Linked DNA regions of Arabidopsis thaliana. The protein of the gene in region 1 interacts with the protein of each later gene in a pairwise test. Each region holds a gene or a part of one and is shown on either strand. Other genes may lie near its edges.

Region 1 (7,202 bases):
CAAGTAACAATTTTTCAAAAAAATATAATTCTAAGCCCAATCATGGAGTTGCTGCATGTACATCAGAACATGGAGTCATGGACCATCTATGGGCTCAGTCCCAAACTTAGCCCATATGTTTCCTTTACAGTAATCTTATTCTTCTTATTCAACACATATTTCTTAATGATTCTATTTCCTTTGTTGTCACAAATGAAAGTAGTTAAGTTTGACTGATTACGAGATTTAGAAACAAGAAAAACCAGTTTTAATTTTCAAATCTTGTTGGCTCCAAAAGAATGTAATAAATGAGTTGTGTAATAAAAAAAAGACAGGAACAAATGTATGTAATGTCCTAATAATAGAGCTTATCTTTTGATTAATTAATCAAAAAAGTTTGGGCCTTTTAAGAATTTAAAAAACCTCCAAAAATTCGACGCAAATAGGCCTCTCCACCAAATCTCTCTCTCTTTCTCTCTGTCACACTCTTTATCACTCTCTGCTCTCACAGATCGGAGAATCTCCTCTGAGAGCTCTAATCTCTCAGCTTTCTTCACCGGCGTCTCCGGATCTAATAATCCTGTAAGGCCTGTAAGTAATCTCATTTTTATTTTCAAGATTTATTTGCGATTTCATCTCTTTTATGCTGAATTTGATTTTCGATGTAGCCTTGTTTTAGCTATCAGTATTACAATTAGTTATCACTGTGATATATATCTTCTCTGAAGTATTATGTTTGCGTTTTGAAGCTACTGCAGAAAAAAGATTGAATTTTTACAATTTGGGGTGACTCAATTTTGTTGACTAGAGTGTTTGGAGATATTTCTAACTAAATGGGAACAATGCACCGCAGGTATAATTTCCTTAACTGATAGATTGTAATACAAAAAAAAGAGTTTTTTTTCCAATATGAAGATTACTACTTAGTGGTTAGTTTTGCAGTGGTGCTCCTCGAAGAACGAATGAAAATGCAAAGGTTATTATTACTACTATTTTGGGGATAGTGTTTGGGACTTTTATTGGTATCACATTACCTTCACTTTCGTTTAAGGTATGAGTTTTGTTTTTCATAGGTCCTTTTATGTGTCCCTTTCATTTTTGCACCTGTTGAATTTTGTTTCGTATTCCTGCAGATTAACTTACCCTCGCGCCTTATATCATCTCTTGATGTAGCCATATCTGGTGACAAATCCCCTGAAGATTTCGGTTCAAGAAAGTTTCCTGAGGTATATAATAAACTTCTTGTTCGGTTCCCTTTCGTTAGCTTTTCGATTATGTTCTAGAATAGTGCCTCATTTCAGATGAAATGTATCGTTTCTGTATGTTTGATTGCAGATATATGTTCCAACTAACCCGCGTGGTGCAGAACTACTACCTCCAGGAATCGTTGTGGCGAAAACTGATTTTTACTTGCGTAGATTATGGGGAGAACCTAATGAAGTATTGACTTCTCATTCTATATTTACTTTCTCAATATATATGGTTTTATCTCTGAAGGCCATTAGAATAGTTAATGTCAAAACAATAACCTTTGCAGGATTTGAAGAAGAAGCCAAAATATCTTGTGACATTTACAGTTGGATTTGAGCAGAGGAACCATATTAATGGAGTTGTTAAGAAGGTTCTGCAATATCAGCATGTGTTTTAGCAAGTATTGTTTTATATATTCTTTGTGGATACACTCAGATTTTTTGTTTTCTTGTCATATCTTCAGTTTTCTGAAGATTTCCAAATTTTGCTCTTCCATTATGATGGCCGGACAACTGAATGGGACCAATTTGAGTGGTCGAAGAGCGCGATTCATATTAGTACAAGAAAGCAAACAAAATGGTTAGTCATCTGGTCATTTACCGGTTATTAAGTATGTTTGTCGAGTATGTTTTTATCGAAATTCTCTACTGGTTTTGGCAGGTGGTACGCGAAGAGGTTTTTGCATCCTGATGTTGTGTCAGCTTATGAGTACATATTTATATGGGATGAAGATCTTGGAGTGGAGCATTTCAATGCGGATAAGTAAGTTATTACTTGTCTGAAGTAGCAGAACAATCTTATATTTTACATTTTGTGATGGAATTCTATTAAAACTTCAGGTACATTGAGTTAGTTAAGAAGCATGGTTTAGAGATTTCTCAACCAGGCTTAGAGCCTAACAATGGACTCACATGGGAAATGACAAAGAGGAGAGGTGACCGGGAAGTCCATAAGTAAGATCTCCTTCTCTAACCATTCTTCTTTGCCTTTCTTTCAAATTTGGTTCTGAATTAAGAAATGTGTTGTTACTTACTGTTGAACAGAGATACAAAAGAGAAACCAGGATGGTGTAAAGACCCACATTTACCTCCATGTGCCGCGTAAGTCTCTCTTTGAAACGTTCTCTTTAGAGCAACTCAAGAGTGTTTAGTCATTGTCAGTACTGAGTTTTCTGAAAAAAATTCCCTCTCACAGGTTTGTTGAAATAATGGCGCCTGTATTTTCTCGAGAAGCATGGCGATGTGTGTGGCATATGATTCAGGTTCGTCGATCTGTAGATACATAGTCCTAGTCTTAGTCCATCAAAATAATGCTTGTTGTTTTGATCAGTTTGTTTATGTTTCTGATGCAGAATGATCTGGTTCATGGATGGGGTCTCGACTTTGCGCTTAGAAGATGCGTTGAAGTAAGTTGTTTTTGCCCCCCCCTTGCTTACCTTAATAACACAATATTCTCTTGACTGATGATGAAAATTTGTGTGTTTTGCTTTTGCAGCCTGCTCATGAGAAGATTGGTGTTGTGGATTCGCAATGGATAATACATAAAGTGATACCTTCACTTGGAAGTCAAGGAAAGTCAGAGAATGGGAAAGCTCCATGGCAAGGAGTGAGAGATAGATGCAAAATGGAATGGACAATGTTTCAGAACCGATTGGCTGATGCTGATAAAGAGTATCTTGGGAAGATGGTGAAAGATTAGATTTGTTTTTCTTTTTTCTTTCTATATAATTAATATATTAAAAAAACTTTTACTTTTGTATATCAAATATTTTACACTAAATTAGGTTTTCATAGGACATGTGTGAAGCCCTTTTTATTGATATTGTGTAAGATTTATACATTTTGATTGAGCTTTATTATGTTGTTTGTTACTTTCTCCATTTCAAATTCTTAGATGTTTTTAAAAAGAAATTGCTTTCACTAAACAAGAGAGAAGTGAAACATGTAAAAAAAAAAAACTTTAGAAAACAAAGGTGTAATAGAAGTGGTTGTTATTACATAATCTTTTTGACTTCTGAAAAGACAATAAGAAAACAAGACTTATAACCAGTTTCATGATTTATCTATTTCACCCAATTTCATAAATTGGCTATTTTATATTTGCTCTCAATAGGTAACGTAAATGGTAGAGAAATTAAGGAGAAGAGAAGGGTATTGGTATGGACTTTGGAGTGAGTGTGAAGCTTTACACCAAATCCAAATAATTTCAATTTTCATTTTAGTTTCTATTTTACAATATTTTGCCCAATAGAAAAAGTATGAGAAATTCAGTTTCACCTTCCTTTTTGCTTTTAGTTCAAGTCAATTGTTTGTCCATAGAAAACCATACAATGTCTCCCTCCATTGGCTGTTTCATTTCAGAGTCTTTTTTATGGTTAAGAATTTGCTATCATATCATTAGTAGAAGTCTCTTATGAGGAAAAACAAATATTAAGCAACATCATTATAGTTTTTCTCATGTATCTTGTGCGTAATTATGTAAATGTCATAATTATTAAAACATGAAATTAGGAAGAACAGAAGTTTGGTGTTAGACACCAACCATTTTTATACAAACAAATAATAAAAATCTCATTATATCACCTTTGCATTTCATCACTCATCACATTCACAATCCTTCTCTTTTTCTCACATCAATATATATCTCTCTTTCTCTCTCTTCATTTGATAGATTTGAAGATTTGAGAGGAGAGAGAGGAAGAAAAAATGGGAGAGATGAAGAGTATGCAAATGGGTGTGATTGGAGCATTGTTTCTATCAGTTGCATCTTCTGTCTCCATTGTCATTTGCAACAAAGCTTTGATGACCAATCTTGGTTTCCCTTTTGGTAATTACTAGTACTTTTTTTTTTTGCTTTGTGAGAATATATTTTGTAAGATCTTTATCAAAAACCCGATTATTCGTCTTAGGATTGATCGCTTTTTTGCTATGGTTTTGTTACAGCAACAACACTTACTAGTTGGCATTTGATGGTAACATATTGCACACTTCATGTGGCATATAAACTAAACTTCTTTGAGAATAAACCAATAGACATGAGAACTGTTGTTCTCTTTGGCCTCCTCAATGGCATTTCCATTGGTCTCCTCAATCTCAGCCTCGGCTTTAATTCCATCGGCTTCTATCAAGTATATATCTTCGACATACTTTTGATCATGTAACAATTATATGATTCACCAATTTGATGTTTGTCCATAACTAATGGCAGATGACCAAACTTGCTATCATACCATTCACTGTTCTTTTAGAAACCCTCTTCCTCAACAAGAAGTTCAGGTGAACCAAACTTGATACATAAGATTATTTTAATTTTTATTGTTTACATAAATAACTTTTTTTTGAATGACATATTTTGGTTTTGCAGCCAGAAGATAAAATTCTCATTGTTTTTGCTGCTAGTTGGGGTTGGTATAGCATCAATCACAGATCTTCAGCTCAATTTTGTTGGCTCTGTTCTATCTCTCCTTGCCATTGCCACAACTTGCGTCGGCCAAATTGTATGCTTTAAGTTTCATTAAACTAATGTTTAATAACTAATACATAGTATAATTAATATGACTATGAAAATGTTGTGGTGAAGCTAACAAACACTATCCAGAAGAGACTGAACGTGACATCAACACAACTCCTATACCAATCAGCCCCGTTCCAAGCTGCTATACTCTTCGTCTCGGGTCCTTTTGTCGACAAATACCTCACTAGCCTCAATGTTTTCTCCTTCCATTACTCTCCCATCGTCGTGGTAATTTTTTACATCGTTAATTCCATTTATTCCCAATTGGTGTTAAAATAGAATTAGAATCATTGTCCTGGATCGGTCCAGCCCATTTTCGCATGGCCCCTTAGAGCCGTGCCCATGTTGAGCCATGATTGTATCATAACGTCCCTAGATAGATACTAAAATTTTGTGAAATTTGACAATGATGAATCATGCAGGGGTTCATAACGTTGTCGTGTTTGATAGCGGTTTCGGTTAACTTCAGTACGTTTTTAGTGATTGGAAAGACATCTCCGGTGACATACCAAGTCTTGGGACATCTCAAAACGTGTTTGGTGCTCGCATTTGGTTACACTCTCCTTCACGATCCCTTCACTCCTCGTAATATCGCAGGAATACTCATCGCTGTCCTCGGGATGCTTCTCTACTCCTACTTCTGCTCAGTTGCTTCTAAATCCAAACAAGCCTCCTCCGATTCCACTTTTCTTGTACGTTAACCACACAAAAAGAAAAGATAGAAATAATGAGTGTTGAAAGTTTCTAAGTACTTTGGTTTTATTCCTTTTTTGACAGGGGAAAGATAGAGATACGACGCCGCTTTTGGGACAAGAAAATGAGAACCATCATGAAGCCAAGAAATTAGACAAGCATTCTCCAGTATGAAATAGTACAATAACTCTTTCTTTATGTTTCGACTCTATAATTGTGTCCCTTTTTTTTGTTCATTCATTGATAATGTTTTTGTAATTGAGAAAAAATTGAAATAGCCAATGGGCATTTTCTCTTCTTTTTTATATTTACATTTCCTATTTCATTTCCTCCTTTTTGGATCTTACAAGGATTATAAAATTATTTTCTCTCGTACGTGTTCTTTGGTTTATGTTAGTGTTCTTCAAATGATCAAATGATTGTTTTCTATTAAGAAGATAAAATAAAATAGTATAGTACTAAATAGTGTTTAAAATACAATTAGTTTCAAAACGGTTTTGGACTTTTCGGTGATTAAAATGTGATAAATTATGAAGTTTTTGAGTTTATGGAAGAAAAATGATGGGCGATTTGACATATGCATATAATTATTATCGGTTTTTAGGATAACAGGAACCAGAAATTTCTAATAATTGAAATGCTTTATGCTCTTATTTTTCCTTTCCATATAAAAAATTTAAATGCAATTTATAACATATATACATATAGATATGTATATTGTTAAATATTACATGTGCGTTACGTCTAACGTTTACGAGAATTCATCCTCTGTTCACATGCTACGTTGTCGTTGTTGTTTTATCTTTCCATGAATAGTATATGTATAACATTTTTATGTTATGGTCTTATGGACCTACAAAGAGAATTGGCAATGAAACTTTCCCTTAAAAGCGAATAATTTTTTTAATTAAAAACTAGTGGTTGTGAGACTTGCAAGTTACGAATGACAAAAAAAAAAAAATAATAATAATAAATGAGAAATGGTCTTCAATCTTCATCAATAGGCCAACTTGTTTGCAACAACCAACAATCCAACTAAAAATCATTTTAAACAAATTATATGATGATGACTTATTCCTACAAATTACTACAGTTTTGGCCTTTTGTCCAACGATGTTGTGATACGTTTCTACATATTTCTCAATCGATCAACGCTAATGCTTATTTTTCAAGATTACTATTTTGTCTCCATGTGTTTTCAGAGACTATGCCTTGTCTTTGTTGGTTGGTTTCACTTTCTTTAGCCATTTTTTTTTTTAAGTCTCCACTCATATTGAATTAGTTAATTTAGGAGTTGGCAAAATAAAGTAAAACTATGGCTTGCATTTTAGTATAAGTAGTTTCTGTATGTGAATGTGATTAAGCTCCCAAGAGTTTTGTCTTACCTCTTGTTGTGATATGTTTATTTTGATTTTCTACCCAATAACATATCTTGTAAAGCGTTTATAACAAAGTAGTGTTTGATGGGTACAAACCACCCAGATGAGCTATATGACTTTTCATTTGTTTGTTTTTGAGCCACTGAGTGACATATAATCTAAAATTGTGCCACTTTCCCATTAAAACCATATGTTTTCAAGCATAATATCTTAATATCAGTATTTTAAAATTAAAAGCAAGATACTATTTTATCCACTTTGGAGAAGATAGATATTTGGAAAATTTGATAAGAATACTAATAAGAGTCTGATGCAATTTGCACATTAACCATTGATAAATAAGACACAACAAGCTCACTTCCGAGAAAAGAGTACAAAAATTAATAT
Region 2 (8,105 bases), on another chromosome or scaffold:
CAATGATCGTCTATCCATCTCATCATCGAATGGTCATCATCAAGTAACTCCTAAGAAAGAGCACCGCCGGAAAAAGAGAAAACGTAAATGCGATATATTCTCCGGCGAGTGGATCCCAAACCCTAAAGCCCCGTACTACACAAACACGACATGCAGGGCGATACACGAACACCAAAACTGCATCAAGTATGGAAGACCTGATTTAGGTTTCATGAAATGGAGATGGAAACCTAAAGAATGTGATCTCCCTCTGTTTGATCCTTACGAGTTTCTGGAAATAGTTAGAGGAACAAGAATGGCGTTCGTTGGTGACTCCGTTAGCAGAAACCACGTTCAGTCTTTGATCTGCCTACTCTCTCGGGTACCAATTCTCTCAATGCTTATCCAACTTTTTTATTTATTTTATGACAATACTTACTCGTTTAATACATTACTTGATGCAAAAGTAACCTTGGTTTAGATATTAATTTCAGGTGGAACATCCTGAGGGTGACTCACAACAGGAGTTTAATTTCCAACGATGGAAATACAAAACGTACAACTTCACGATCGCCACATTTTGGACAACACATTTGGTTCGCGCTGAAGAAACGGAAACCGGTCCGACAGGTCCTAATTCATTCTACAATCTCTACCTCGACGAACCTGACCCTACTTGGGCTTCCCAAATCGGTGAGTTCGATTACATAATCATCTCATCTGGACAATGGTTTTTCCGACCACTCTTCCTTTTCGACAAACAAAAAAGGATAGGATGTTTGTATTGCTACATTCCCGGAGTCAGAAATGTCGGGGCACATTTCGCGTATAGAAGAGCATTGAGAACAACATTCAAGACAATTCTTGGATTAGAGAATTTTAAAGGAGAAGTGTTTCTGAGGACATTTGCTCCTTCACATTTCGAAGGTGGAGAATGGGACAAAGGTGGAAATTGCTTGAAAACGCGACCATATAGGTATACATTGTTCATCCGACATTTTCTAAAATATTAGTTTCTTCTAGAATACTTTAATATTATGAGTTTTGTGTTTTTTTTGTTGTTGTTTGAGTTTTCATTCGTCACATCCTAATAGAAACGTCTATATATTCCTTTGGGTTTCTTTTGTGTTTATATAGGAGCAATGAGACAGAGTTAGATGGTATGAATCTAGAGACACACAGCATTCAACTCGATGAATTTCGCATTGCAAACAGAGACAAAAACAGAAATGACGGATTAAATTTGAGATTACTAGATGTCACACAGATGATGTTGTTAAGACCAGATGGACATCCGAGCAGATTCGGACATAAACGAGAAGATAAAGTTATCTTGTATAATGATTGTGTACATTGGTGTTTGCCAGGTCCAATTGATTCATGGAACGATTTTTTACTAGACATGTTGAAAAATAGAGATTTAAAGAGATTAAAATACTAGTACGTAGAATCTAAATTTTCTCAGTTAAACCCTTTTTGTTCATTTGTAATTATATACGAGTATGTTTGGTTACGATGTGGTATTTAGAAAGATCTCTTCCCTTTTTGGCACGGTTTTCATAATCAGATATAAGCTTTTAAGTAATTTCAGATCTTAATTAACACATTGAATATTTAATGATATGGATCTAATATAAGTTTATGGTACAAATGAAGTAAAATAGTCAACGTTTTCCAAGTAACATGTCAACCGTACATACATTAATGTATTTTACATCAAAAAGTCCATGCAATGATTTTAGAATTCAAATAAATAAAGTCTATTTGAATTAGGAAAATTATATATATTTGACACAAAATTAAAATTTATTAGTTTAATAAAAAGAATAATGGTCATAACGTATATATACAAATTATACAACTTTACAAACAAGAAAACAAACGAAAATAGTCAACCCACCATGCAAACGCTACCGTTTCTAAATTGGTTTTAATTATAAATCATCGGCGATCTACGCTACCGGTAACAAGATATCCAATTCCGTGGCGTCTCGCCGGAAAAACCATAAACAAAAGGCTACACATAACCCCAACACCCACCGGAACAATGTCCAAGACATGTTTCGTCTCTGCCTCCGGCGACGGATAAAAGCAATCAGTTATATACTTGTCTCTCAACGCAACCGCTCCAAACACTAAAACCGACAACGTAGCGTGGATCCAATCAACGAACCGCATCCGATATTTGGCTAAATCGGGTAAACCTAACCCGGACGGGTCAGGATAGTCAACGACCCACATGCCTTTGAACGTTACGAAACCGAAGTAGATAGTTCCATCGTCGGCTTTAACGCTATCGGTAAAGGAGCTGACGAAGCAAGACGCGGCTAAGAGGAAAAGGAGAACGGCGGTTAGGAAACGCGTTGCGTGGTCGCAAACGCCGTTTGAAGTGAAAACCGGCGTTAGGAGTTGAAACGCGAGGAGTGTTCCCGTTGGGAGTAGGTTTGAGAGATTGGCTGCTGACGTCAGGGTGTTTGACATGGCTCGCTGAGACATTGACATCTGTCTCTTGAGCACCCGGGATTCTGACGGTGTCTGATCGGATAACTCGTCGAGCTCCGGAGCCGGAGTGTTTGCGTTTCTTAGCCGAAGGGCAGACATCTTTTTAGTTTTGATTCTTTTCAGGTTTCGATCGTTGGATTGATATTGGTGAAGATAATGATGATGATGTTTTTTTATAGATGCTACGATATAGAAACAGCTAATGATAACTTAGTTTACGCATAGTGGACTGTCTGTATTTAAGTAATCTCTCTGTTCAGTTAACTTGTACGATAAACAACATTATACACGACAAATAATACAAGACTTTTTAAAGCTTTTAACAAGATAGAACATAATGCTGAAAACAGTGATTGAGCTAGATATAACTGTGTCATATTCTGCTTGTTCTTCGCACGCTAGTCCTTCTCTGTTCTCACGATTTAGGGTTTCTTTCCCAATGCTCTGTTTTGTTCATTTTCTTTCTTTGGATAAATTGCATACAAACCCTCAAAGTTTCCAGTCTTTTGCAAAGTTGTAGTTATTTTTATATTAAATATCATAAACAACTGATTGCCAAAACGTCGTCGCTCTTGCAAAAGTCCACAGATACTAGTAGTAAGTAAAGTATAGGAAAAGTGGACCAAAGAAACAAAACCCATACAAAAAAAGTCGAATCCAAATCTCTCTCTCCGGCGATCTCATCCATGGCGGAAGGCGGCGAAGATTCCCAGCGGTTGAAGAAAATTGCGGCGGCTGCCTTCGACTACGAAAACGACGCTCGATGGGCCGATTACTGGTCCAATATCCTCATCCCTCCTCACATGGCTTCTCGTCCCGAGGTCGTCGACCATTTCAAGCGCAAATTCTACCAACGCTACATCGTACTTACTACTATCTTCCCTACTCTTGAATTTGCTTATCCATTTTCTTCATTACTTTGAGTTTCGAGTTTGACTTTGTGTTGTGTGCGCTACTGATTTGGGGATTTAGTGTGGACTTTGAATCTTAGGTTTTACAAGTGTGGTTGTTGATGTTCTTTCTGCTAAATTGCTTAGTCCTTGGGTCCGAATCTCCTCGTGATTAGGTTATTAAGCGGAGGGTAGGGCTTTTCATTGAATATTCGTTAGGTCCTGTTTATAATATGTGAAGCCTTCGTGTTGTTCATCTTTGCTCTTCCCTATGAAGATGTAATCTGGATTTGTTTCTAAATCTAGGGTGCTTGCCATGTCCTTCTTTTTTGCAGGATCCTGATCTTGTTGTGGAGCCTATGTCGACTTCATCTTCGTCTTCACAATCTGCCAGGCCAACTGCTACATCTGCATCTTCAACTGCATCTTCTAATGCAAATGAACAAGTTCGTTCACGGAACTCAGGTCAACTTTCTTTGTCTGATATATTCTTGAACTCAAATGAGCTTTTCTTATTACTACCAAAAACTTACCTAATTGTGTGCCTCAGGATCGGTTCCTCGAACCTCTGGGCCATCTGCTACGACTGGTGCAACCCCAAGTTCAATGCGCTGGGATGAGCAGACGATTCAGTTTTCAGTCAATGCTTGGGTAAGATAAAGTTTTTCAGTTGCAGTTTCTTCCTCTTATTGCACAAGTTTAATAAAAAGATCTAGCTCTTGTTAGCCCTGTGAGTTGGGATTGTTGTTGCAATCTGCTGTTCACTCCTTAACTTCACGGACAGTAATGAGATGGTGCATAGTGTATTGTCTGTCTTTATGTTCTCCTGTCTTGCTGAATCTTTGTTGTGTACTTAGACATGAACTAGATGTGACAAATGCTTTTTTGTCTGGAATGCTTCACGTAACTTATCTCCCGTTTCATGTCTCTAAATCCATTACATTTTTGCAGGTTTTTGTTATAGCTGTGCTGGCAGTGCTACCTCTAATACCAAAGAACCTCTCAAATAGGGCTTATCGTCTATCTTTCATGGGAACTGCATGCTCATCTCTATATTCCTTATACTCCTTATACGGGGTACGCCATGTGAATTTCATGTTTTCTTTCTCTCTAGTGATCATGCAATGCGAAATTTTTGTTACTTATGAATTGTAATTTTATAATCTGCAGAGGCCAAGGGCATGGAATATGCAAGGGCTGCAAGTTTATTTTCAATCAATTGTGGCAGCAAAGGATTTCATCTACTTCATCTACTGCCTTACATTCGTCACTTCACATCTCTGTCTCAAGTGTAAGAATTTATTGAAAACTCTTTTGTGAATGTCTTCAAATCACGTACATTCTTATGACTAGTCTCATTATCAATCTGTTGCAGTTGCTTTGATTCCCATCTTGTGCCGGGCACTTGAACAAGTAGCCAAGTTCTTGAGGCGTAACTTTGGTCGGTCCACTATATACAGGTAGGTGCATCGAGCTGATTAGCAGGTTTGAATGTAGTAGTAGGTTCCATGTGTGGATTCTTACTGATGCTTATGTTGTACATGTGTCTTGTTCTGTAATGGTTATCAGAAAGTACTTGGAAGACCCTTGTGTGTGGGTGGAGTCAAACACTACTACCCTCAACATCTTGTCATCGCAGGCTGAGATAGCCATTGGCTTCCTTCTGATTATCTCTCTGCTCTCGTAAGCTCTTTGAACCTGTTAGAAGCGATAATAGTTTATTTTCGCACTTAAGTTTATATTCTCACTAAGTTCCCAGCTTTGCATTAGCTGGTTTCACTTATCTGAACAAAATTGTCATTTTACTTACTGCAGATGGCAACGTAACATTATACAGACGTTCATGTACTGGCAGGTACGTATCATCTTTTGGTTGTAGTCATCAGTTCTTTGTGATGGCTCAACATTCCCAAGTAGAACCCCTGTTTTCTTTGTTTAATTTGATCCAAGTGAACATATAGGAAGAATCATTTCCGTAATAACACCTTTTTTGTTGCTTTGATGATCTTCTGTCACTGAAAGTGTTACATGGGCTAAGACCATCAGGATAGTAATGAGAACTGTGTTTTGTTTTTTTTTGGTTAAAAATCTTGTGTTCTTGTTATAAAATCTGTCAAGTTCAAAAACCTTTTCCTCATATTCTTCCTAAAACAAAGATCTACTAGGTTGTTTGCAGGATTGTTGGTTGGATCTTGAGAGTTGTTCTCATGAACTGAGTTTTGTTATTTTGGTGGCAGCTATTGAAGCTGATGTATCAAGCACCGGTAACAGCTGGTTACCACCAGAGCACGTGGAGCAGAATAGGGAGGACGGTGACTCCGATTATCCAACGTTACGCTCCTTTCTTGAATACTCCGGTCAGTGCCGTTCAGAGATGGTGGTTCAGGTGATAAAAAGAAACAAAATGCAGAGGTGACTTTTGAAACCCTTTTGAAAAACCAGAAGATTGATTAAATAGCTTTCAACAATCCATGTTAATTTCATATTCAGCGTAAAGTAGATTCTTCTTCTCTTTTAACGTTTTCCTTTGGCTATCGCTGAAATAAAAATCTCTTATTACTTTTGGTTTCTAGTTTAGTTATATGTGACTAATTGCCTTTCCAGTTTCCACCTTGCCATTTTCATTGGTGAGATACTTCAAAAGTTTCTAAAAAAATAATAATAATAATATTTTATTATGATTTAGTTTCTGTCCAATTATAAACACATACATATACATATAGTCTCTCAATCATTACTCTAAAATTTCTCTGCATAAAAACAATTCTCAATCTCTCTCTTATCTCTCTCATACTTTATTATTATTTTATATTTTTTAGTCAATAAAAAATTATGTGAGAAATTACCGATGAAAATGTTCTAAATTTTATAATATCTGATTCCATGAGTGATTGTAGAACTTTTGCTCAAAAATAAAAATCATCTAAAATATCATCTGGCCCTAGAAAATCGGTTTCATTGTGTAAAATTATTATATATTGAAAGGGTGATTATTTAAAGAAATTATAGTTGATTGGTTGTGAGTCGTTTACACATGTGGATGAGTGTTTTTGTTCGAAAAAAGGAAATCTAAAATAATGTACATTGGGGGGGGGAGAGGAGTATTATTTAGATAAACCAAATTTGGGAATAAGGTATCTTAATCATTGATTCATATTCCCTTCATTGGTGCGCGTGCCACCGCTTAAATCACCGAACACGTTCCCAAAGTCTAGTACCAGCAAGCAATACCACGTGGCGTCTATGCACAACTATACGAAATACGAGTGTCGAGACATCAAACCACCAATAGCGTATTGTGTTCGAACGCAATTCTAATCACAATTTAATATATGGAGCGGGACCCTTTAAACTGCTGTTTAATACACAAAATAAGAAAAAGAACTCTTCAAAGTACGTAATCACTACTAGATTAAAGAAACCAAATCAGAATACTGTAACTTATTCACATTAATAATACTCATTAGGAAGGAAAAAAATTGGTAGAGAAGAGGACCGGAATACGACGTCGTTTTGACATTCCTCTGTGAAAAAGAGAGAGAGCCGCACATGAGTGAAAGCTTTTCAAATATTTGAAAATTGAAACAAAAAAAACAAGAACCGATCAATTATAAAAGCACAAGACACGAATAGGAGGAGGAGGATACAAAATTCGAGATCCAATCTTTCTCCGACTACTTTCACGGCGGAGATGCAGTTGTCTCCGGAACGATGCCGTCCGATGTCTGAAAACAGAGAGGCTTGGTCAGCGAATTCCGAGGAAATGGAGCTGCTTCACGGCTCCAACAGATTATCTTCACCGGAACATGTTCGTAGAAGAGTCTCCGGGAATTCTTCTGAGGACGGTTCGCCTCGAATTTGCCGGCAGCAGTCGTTCGGTCGCGACATAGGCCATGCAGCTGCCGAGACGTATCTCATTACTCGACTTAGCTTCAACCTTCTTGGATATCTCGGGTAAATTTCATTCCTCTCATGGCATCGTTTATTTGTTTTTAGCCGAGACGTATCTCATGTCCTGTTTCTAGAGCTCACAATTAGTCTTCTCGATGAATTATTCTTACCACAGTTTTATGATAACTAAATGAGTTTTCCGGTAATTAATAATCTTAGGACATGTGATGATGTTTCAATTTTTTTGTCGGAATCTCTGTAAGGAAAGTTTTGTTTTATTGTTGTAAGTTTTTGTTCAGGGTAGGTTACCGGTGGATCACAAGATTACTTGCTCTTGCTTGTTATGCAATGCTCCTTATGCCTGGTTTCCTTCAAGGTTACCCCATCTTCTTTGCTCTGTCTTATTAACAAGCTGTTTTTTGTACACTAACAAAGCTTTTGCTATTTCCTTGTGCAGTTGCATATCTTTATTTTTTCTCATCTCAAGTCAGGAGGAGTATAGTTTATGGAGGTCATCCAAGGAATAGGTATCTCAGTCTCTGCAATCTTGCCTTCTTCAATGATTGGTATTTAGTACATTTTATTCGATTATTCTGGCAGGCTGGATTTGTACATACCGCCAACGAGTGATGGCCTGAAGCCGGTTGTAGTTTTCGTTACTGGTGGAGCTTGGATTATCGGGTAAGCAATTCGTGGGCCTCGTATCGTGTTTAACTTTGATAATAATACACTAGCGTCCTTTGTGGATACATCTTCTTTCACAAGATAAAAGTCGCACACTCAATAGTTTCATACTTGCCTATCCTTTTAGTTACAAAGCTTGGGGTTCTCTCTTGGGACTAC
Region 3 (8,167 bases), about 12 Mb from region 1:
ACATTCGGTTATCCATTCGGTTATCAGTTTTTTCGGTTTTAAAATTTAGTATCCATTCTGTTAATTTGAAAGTTTGGTTTGGTTTCGGTTCAGTTTTAAAATTTAATATCCATTCGGTTATTTTATTTTGAATATTTTCGGATTTTTGGTTATTTTTGGATATTTTTGAATATTTTCGCTTAATTTCGAATAATTTAACCATTTTGTATATATTTTCAACTTTTTTTAATTATTTACTATAGAAATAACTAATATTTTGAAAATATATTTATATTTCGGATATTTTCGGTTACCCGAAATATTTCGGTTATTATCCATTCGGTTTCGGTTCTTTCGGTTATAAATTTAGTATCCATTCGGTTATTTTTCACTTTTCGGTTCGGTTCGGTTAATTTTGTTTCGGATTCGGTTAGGTACATTCGGTTCGGTTTGTTAGCCCATGCCTAGTTTTGAGGTGAATTTGCCACATGTCAACACTTGATTGCGTAAGTAACTCCTACAAAAGGATATTTTTGTGGGGATAAATACTCGTATAGGAGATTTGATCATACGAAAATCAAATCTGTCCTTGAAGCTCTCCAATAATGAAGTCACAAAGCCATAAGCCATGGAATCTAGTCGCCGGAATCTTCTTTCCGATCATCACTTTCTTCCTCTCGGCTCCTCTTGTCGGCCACGCCTTGTATCTCTTCTGCATGCGTAACGACCACGTTTACTACCGCGACTTCCAAAGTACGTTACCACGTGTACAAACACTCGTCAGCGTCTCTCTCCTCGCCTTGTTCCTCCTTAGCAACATCGGTATGTTTCTCCGACCACGACGGCTCAGCTACTTCCTAGTTATTGTCTTCTTCATAGGTTTTGCTTACTCCGGTGTGTACAAGATGGAAAGCCGGCGGTTTTCTCCGACACCAATGTGTTTCAAGGGAGAATATAATAATGGACAAGGAGAACGTAAAACAGAACAATATCAAGTGGTTAAGATAGAACAAAGTCAAGGACGCTTGCAAAGAGTTCACTTGCGGTTTGTCAACAGCTATGCCTTGCCACCGTATGATAGAAGATTGTTACCATCTGTTAAGGTACTTACGAATCAATTACTCTTTTTTTTTTAGAATAATTATTATTTATTACTTAGATATATATCAAATCTAATATAGGTATCAACTTGTTACAATTTTGGTTGGGATTTAGATTTTATTTAGATATGCCTATTTTTTTTTTTAGTATTTTAGTTTGATTTTTATATCGTTGTTATTGTAAACAATTTGTGGATTTGAATTTTAATAATTTTGGAGGATTCGAGAGGATTTCTTTAGTTAAAAATATAGAAATCCAAATCATATGGTTTAAGGTGAGATTTGAATGGATTTTACAAAAATTATATAGACTTCCCTAAAATTATCAAAATCATTTAAAAACTCAACAAAATTCAAATCACTTTAAATTCTAATTTGAATACACCCGTAGTAGTTTTTAAAAGTATTGTTGGTTTTTGTTCCAAAAAAATCTTTTTATTTATCCAATTAAGATTTTGAAAAATTAGTTTATTTAAAGTACATATATTAATTTGTTTTAAATATTTGAAGCCGTGATATGCAAGATTTAATACCACTAAATCCTAATAAGATATGACGAAAGAGAAAATCTTTTCTTGATATATTTTTAAAAAAGTCATAATCTTTTGTTCTTGTTGTTTGTTGTGTTAGACTGGATGCTGCAATCGGCCAGGGAATTGCAAACTAGAGACGGTCAATGCAACATTGTGGGTTACAAGAAATCGTGAAGGACCACCTTTGGAAACGGCAATGATCTATGATCGTTACGGTGGCAATGCAGACATAAAGGATTATTACGATATGTGGAGACACGAGTTAAGTGTGTTGTACTATGATTGTATGACTTGTCAGGTTAGGATCATTAAGTCTCCAAGGCTGCGCAAATGGTGGCAGTTCGGTGTTTTCTTATCTTCCCTCACCTCTTTGTTTAGATAGATCACAAATTCATAGATGATTTTGATCGAATAGATTAGCGATTTGGTTCAAGAGAGTTGTTATTTTTTCGTCTTTAGAATATATATAGATCAATAAAAAAAAGGTTACAAAGTTATCTTAATTAATTACCAAAAAAAGAAGATAACTCTCTAAAGTAGTAGAGAAGAGAAAGACTTCACCTAAACAAACATAGTTTCGTCTATAAATCATATCACAGAAAACAAACTGCCACAAAACATTTTAACAAAAAGGAAAAAAAATGTGACCACAGAGCGATTTGGTATTCAGTTTCTGGCTTCGAAGAAGTCTTCTTCTTTATCTACCTAAGAACAGATTATCATCTTCTTTGTTCTACCAAAAATCGTAAGGGGGAGGGTGATTGGCAGCAACAGTTTTACTCGCATTTAATCGACCGGTAAATGTGGCGGACGAAGAGGAGAGCAGCGCGGAAGCCAACGGTTCCAAGCATGAGGAAGAAACCGTAACAAATGCAAGCCATGTACCCGAAGAAGAAGGATGTTTGCATGAAACCAGACATGTCTGATCTTGCGTAGTAGTAGTATAAGCAGTACGCATATATAAACAGACCAGTCGATCCACCACATAGGAATGATCTGCAACAAAGAATATTAATAACTATAACAATGTAATTTTATTATCACCAATCCAATTCAAATTCGAATTTAAAATCTACGGAAGGATTTAGTAGATGTGCCTAATCAAGCCAAACTGAAACCCTACGTAAGTAATCAGTTTGAAACTGATACTAAAACGAAACACAAACCATAGCAATTCTAAGCTATTTGTATTTGGTATTATCATTTGGTTTTCTATATTCCATATACCAAAAACCGAATTAAAAAACCAGCTTGGGTGGAAAAATTTACCTCCACCACCATTCATGATCTTCAGCAGCGAGTTGGAAGTAAGTAAGGGCAACTGTTATAAAAGCAGTGACGATCAACAGGATGATGAAGACGATGAAGAGGATGCTGTAAATGGTATAGATACGATGGCCCCAAACACTGGCAAAGATGTAATATAGCTCGATGTAGATGGCACTGAAAGGAAGAAATCCAGCCATGGCCATCTGCGGTACAGCACTCCTGTACCATGGGAGTGGCGGGATCTCCCGAGGATACTTAGTGGTGCGGACTGGAGCTTGGAACTCAGCTTTGCTGTTTTTACCGGCAATACCACCCAACACAAGTAAAGGCGAAGTGACTAGTGTCCATATGAGGACGATCACTATGATGGTTCCAAAGGGAAGAGCGGCAGTTGCACTGTATGCGATTGCAACGGTGTTTAGGAAGCAGAAGGTGAGAAATAGTGGGCCACAGAAGAGACCTCCAGTTAGCAGCAAATTTCTCACCTGAAGAGGAAGAACGGTGAGAAATGAAAAGCTTATCACTTTAAGTTGAAAAGAGTAAAGGGAAAGGGTTTACATACCCAATTCTTTCCTTCGAGTTGACAGTAGAAAGAGGAGGCAGTGTATCCGGCAATTCCAGATGTGAGAGCATAGATAACGACCAAAGCAGTGAAGAGTGCTCCACGGTTGTATGGATAGAACACTCCAACAAGTGAAAGCATGAAAATGAAGATGGTCCTGATGACATATGAGGTATATTACAGTTAGTAATGGCAAAGAATAACTAAAGATAAACGAAGGAGGCTGAAAAGAGACTTACAGAGTGAACAACTGGGTACCGCTACCAAGAGATGCAGCAAAGAGAGATTTGTTCTTTGGGAACCGGAAGACATCTCCATGAATGTATTTCCATCCGGTTTCCTCTTGATCATCAGCAGCTTCCTCATCTTGAGCATACCTTTGAAAGTTAGGGGAAAAGTTAATGGTTGGAAACAAAAGTGTGCATCGGTGAGTCAAGCACAAAGAGTTAGCATTCAAAACTTACTTCATGAAATCATTCTTGAGGACCCGCATCAGGATGGTTGCAAGGAAACCAGTCAAAAGAAGGACAGTGACGCAGGAGTTAATAATGGAGAACCAGTGGATTTCCAAGTGATGTGGAAGAGAAGAAGACATAGCATACTTATCCATTCTTTTCTCAAAAGAAGTCTCAGTTTCCTTCCACTTCACAGTGTACATAAACTCAGCATCGACTTCCTTATCCTCAGTAAGATCCACAAGCGAATGAGGATCCATTCTAGCATTGATTTCAATCACCCGATCCTTATTGTACAAAATCTCAAACTGGATGTGTTTGTAGAGAAAATATTTAAACTCGCTAGGATCAGATTTGCTCTCTTTGTCCACCTTCCCAATGAATCCCCAAATAGGCAAATCATCATAATACATCTGAAAGTAATAATCTTTTTCAACAGCTCTTCGAAAGTGTTCAACTTCTTCTCTACTAAGCTTCTTTTTACAGTACACCTCTGAGTCTTTCTCATCTCTAAAGTTAAGCTTGTATGGAGCACTAACAAGCCTATCCCCATTCAAAACCTCACCAAGAGCTTCCTTCTTATCTTTCACACCCTCTACACAAACCAAAACAAATGCATATTGACACCAAAATACACAAATCCGAAAAAAGTGAAAAACCACACATAACAGAGACAACATTGAGCGTGCTCGTACCTGGAATACAAAAGGGGAGATCGAAATAGCGATACGTCTCACTGCAACAATCATCAAACACAAGTAAAAATCAGTCATATAACAATGCAATCGAAGATCTATCACATTTTAAGAACACGAATCGAATTTTTTCAAGGTCAGATACAAAAATTCAATACCAACGCAAGCTTCTACAGAAATTTGCAACGATCAATTTATCACTCATCAAAGAGAATCACAGATCTAAGCTACCGACAAAGGAACTGAGATTAGAGAATTGGATTTACCTGGGATTGTGAAAGGGGCCGACCTTGTTGGCGTAGAGAGGAACGGAGTCACCGTCCTTGTAACGGTGGTCGGAGGCATCGGATCTGACAGTACCGGCGCCGGAGAAGATGAGAGCTCCGATAAAGAGGAGCAGCGTCGTTGGTAATCTCATGATGATGTGTGTTAATGTGAGAGGAAGAAGAAAATCGTGAGATCTGAGTTTGCTTTATATTTTTGAGAGCAACGCTTATGGCAAAAGGACGATTATATTACTTTTATTTATTTTATCTCTCTTTTTAACGAATTTTCTTCTACTAAATGCTTAAGAAAAAATATTGCGAATAAAAAGCATTATGTAAGAAAATAAAATCTGCGACATTTTAATATTTTTTTTAGAAATTGAAATGATTATTTTTATATATTTTATTTTTGGTTGTTTTCTTAAATCTTCTAAACAAAATTCGTATTAATTCACAAAATTTTAAATTATTTAATACGTTTCGTAAGAAACTTGTGAATGGCAGAGGCAAGTGATATAAACTGAAGCAAATAAAACTTTCTATAATCGATATTTTTTGTTACAATTGTCGTTTTTTTTTTAATAAGTAGCAATTTTCTATTGGTAGAGTGATTCTCTCGTTCTTGTGCTTTCTACTATTTATAGGAGTTTTATTGCATTCCATGTGACTATAACAATCAGTAATGTTCTTTTTACTCTTTAACAAAATCATGATGATGAAGATACAAATAAAAAGGTGGTCAAAAGAAAAAAGATCAATAGTGCCTCGTTTTTTTTTTTCACAATAGTATCTCGTTTATGAAATTGATTAAAGCAAAGCAAGTAAAAAGTATTATCAATTGGAATATAAACCAAATTTTTTGTACATAAAATGAATGATGTAGTAATTTATATACCTGATTATCTTAACTAAACTCAATTTTTTGCAACCAAACCAGATAAATAAGAACACTATAAAATTAAGATGTTAATTACACAGACAATAATTTTATTTATTTATAAAGTTTATTTTTGTAACAGCTCTGATACTTATTGATTTTGCACCTTCTTTGATGGTGGTGGCGAATCATACACTCATCAGCGACCATGATATGTAATCCATCAACGAGTTCTCTCTGAATCTTCTCGCCTGGAACCAGTTTTCCAGAGCATAAACATAAGCCTTAGAACAAAACAAACATCTACTATCCCCTGAACTACTAATGATAGAGTAATCAATGTAAACTCTTTTCCTATTGTAGAATTTACCATTAGACAAATTATTATGCATGTTGTTAGCATCTCTACTCTTGAAAAATCTTCGTAAGCTGATTGGAAAATCAAAGAATAACAAACTAACTAACTAACAATCACTACTCTATAAGCAAATCTTGAATACCAATAGAGATTCTTTATGTTGGATTCTATCTTTGAGCATTTCATTAGGATCGACGGTTGGTCGATTAATCAATACTAACCCAAACAGTCTTTTAACATGCACACTTGATACCTTGTAGGTGCTTCTGGGTAGCATGAAAATGATAATTGGTGTTATTCTGATATGCGAAATTGAAAATGTTGTTGTGCATCAGCTAAGCATAATTGAAAGTTTAAAAAATATTATAAATTTAACGTGAAGAATTGAAAGGTATCAGATTAATGTTTTGGATCAGCCGAATAGAGTCAGGCTAATCCAAATTCTCAAATATTTTCGAAACCTTAAACACATCAAACTCCACGAAGTAAACACACTCACACACATATCAAAATCCACATTATAAATGTATTTTTGGTAGGCTAGTCGTCTAATTCTAAAATAGCCAATTTACATTTGCAATTGTTTATTCAAAAAAGTACAACAGTAAGAGGTCTTATCAATTAAATCATAAGAAAAATATGTCCCAAAATGTCAAAAAACCAACTACGAATATTTCTTTTCCTTTTAAGGCCAAACCAGGTTTTGGAATACTTATTACAAATAAACTCAATTTCAATAAATTCTTGTACACAAATTAAGCACTAATTTCATTGTGAAGATACCATAGTCACATTCACATCTATATGACATCAATCTATAAAATCCAAAACAAACTATATATTATATTTATATTATTTTTTTGTCATCATTATATTTCCATTAATTTATCTAATTCTGGTTCTAATATACTCTTGGTCAGAAAAAATATAAACATTGAAGAATTGGTCGGCTGAAAATTGTGAAAAATATATAGCAGAAAAATATGATAATGTTATCATAAACAAAATTAATAGTAAAATTTAATTTTAATTTAACACTACAGTACTATACACGTGTGTATGTATAGCTCTATAAGTATTTACTCTCTTTCAGCTATTTATTTTTTCAGTGAACGAGCATTCTTCTTCTTCCTCTGTGTTGTTGCTTCTTAGATATATTCAAATAAAATGACGACTGTAATCGACGCGACGATGGCGTATAGATTTCTGGAGGAAGCGACCGATTCGTCTTCTTCTTCTTCTTCTTCCAAACTAGAATCTAGCCCTGTCGACGCCGTTCTCTTCGTCGGAATGTCTCTGGTACTCGGTATTGCTTCTAGGCACTTGCTTCGTGGAACTAGGGTTCCTTACACTGTCGCTCTTCTCGTTATCGGAATTGCTCTTGGATCTCTCGGTTCGATTTCGTTCCATGGAATTTCTGATTTCTTCATCTGTTTTAATCCTTGAAGTCAACGTAATCATGCTTAATTGCTAATTCATGTTGTTTGGTGTTTCAGAATATGGAGCTAAACATAACCTTGGAAAGATCGGCCATGGAATTCGTATCTGTAAGTTTTTAGTTTCGAATTTTTCTTCTCTTCCATGGCTGGCTTTGTAAGAACTATAGAATCAATGTTATTGTGCAGGGAATGAGATCGATCCAGAACTTCTTTTAGCTGTTTTTCTTCCGGCTCTTCTTTTCGAGAGTTCGTTTTCAATGGAAGTTCACCAAATTAAGGTTTATTCCTCTGGCTCTAATTCCTAGTTAAGCTTAAAGGTTAAGAGAAATAGGTACTGAATACTTGCATGATTCTTTAGAGGTGTCTGGGACAAATGGTGTTACTTGCTGTCCCTGGAGTTCTTATTTCAACAGCTTGTCTTGGATCGCTTGTGAAGGTATGAATTAGCCTGGTTGGTATTAAGTAGCTGTCCTGAAAACAAAGAAAGACAAATCGATTATTATGTTATGAAACTATACTTGCTATATGCAGGTCACGTTTCCGTATGAATGGGACTGGAAAACGTCCTTGTTGCTTGGGGGACTTTTAAGTGCTACTGATCCGGTTGCTGTTGTTGCTTTGCTAAAGGAGCTTG

The links.
Region 2: the proteins of AT2G28315 (region 1) and AT3G02420 interact in a protein complementation assay, tested with the Arabidopsis thaliana proteins (one large-scale study listed by BioGRID).
Region 3: the proteins of AT2G28315 (region 1) and AT2G01970 interact in a protein complementation assay, tested with the Arabidopsis thaliana proteins (one large-scale study listed by BioGRID).

Annotation. Positions count from the first base shown.
Region 1 is NC_003071.7:12,084,961-12,092,162, forward strand, and holds AT2G28315 (Nucleotide/sugar transporter family protein), read left to right. Parts: upstream 1-3,706; 5' UTR 3,707-3,935; coding exon 3,936-4,056; intron 4,057-4,172; coding exon 4,173-4,357; intron 4,358-4,437; coding exon 4,438-4,505; intron 4,506-4,593; coding exon 4,594-4,726; intron 4,727-4,809; coding exon 4,810-4,971; intron 4,972-5,165; coding exon 5,166-5,435; coding exon of another isoform or gene 5,436-5,444; exon of another isoform or gene 5,445-5,520; coding exon 5,521-5,610; 3' UTR 5,611-5,805; downstream 5,806-7,202. Other genes in the region: AT2G28310 (trimethylguanosine synthase (DUF707)), read left to right, coding at 813-832, 922-1,030, 1,113-1,205, 1,315-1,419, 1,517-1,600, 1,694-1,809, 1,891-1,992, 2,070-2,183 and 4 more. UniProt on the Arabidopsis thaliana protein: Nucleotide-sugar transporter that transports UDP-xylose and UMP in a strict counter-exchange mode.
Region 2 is NC_003074.8:493,835-501,939, reverse strand, and holds AT3G02420 (dihydroflavonol 4-reductase/flavanone protein), read left to right. Parts: upstream 1-2,975; 5' UTR 2,976-3,167; coding exon 3,168-3,344; exon of another isoform or gene 3,345-3,562; intron 3,563-3,706; coding exon 3,707-3,836; intron 3,837-3,921; coding exon 3,922-4,022; intron 4,023-4,322; coding exon 4,323-4,448; intron 4,449-4,541; coding exon 4,542-4,662; intron 4,663-4,746; coding exon 4,747-4,831; intron 4,832-4,940; coding exon 4,941-5,054; intron 5,055-5,186; coding exon 5,187-5,226; intron 5,227-5,608; coding exon 5,609-5,761; 3' UTR 5,762-6,056; downstream 6,057-8,105. Other genes in the region: TBL20 (TRICHOME BIREFRINGENCE-LIKE 20), read left to right, coding at 1-361, 474-955, 1,117-1,420; AT3G02430 (transmembrane protein, putative (DUF679)), read right to left, coding at 1,921-2,580; ICME-LIKE2 (alpha/beta-Hydrolases superfamily protein), read left to right, coding at 7,063-7,325, 7,562-7,638, 7,720-7,789, 7,863-7,943, 8,074-8,105.
Region 3 is NC_003071.7:449,809-457,975, forward strand, and holds AT2G01970 (Endomembrane protein 70 protein family), read right to left. Parts: upstream 5,152-8,167; 5' UTR 5,012-5,151; coding exon 4,860-5,011; intron 4,635-4,859; coding exon 4,594-4,634; intron 4,494-4,593; coding exon 3,908-4,493; intron 3,821-3,907; coding exon 3,683-3,820; intron 3,601-3,682; coding exon 3,444-3,600; intron 3,367-3,443; coding exon 2,882-3,366; intron 2,609-2,881; coding exon 2,389-2,608; 3' UTR 2,050-2,388; downstream 1-2,049. Other genes in the region: TET14 (tetraspanin14), read left to right, coding at 585-1,082, 1,710-1,994; SOS1 (sodium proton exchanger, putative (NHX7) (SOS1)), read left to right, coding at 7,262-7,487, 7,591-7,641, 7,720-7,811, 7,892-7,969, 8,065-8,167.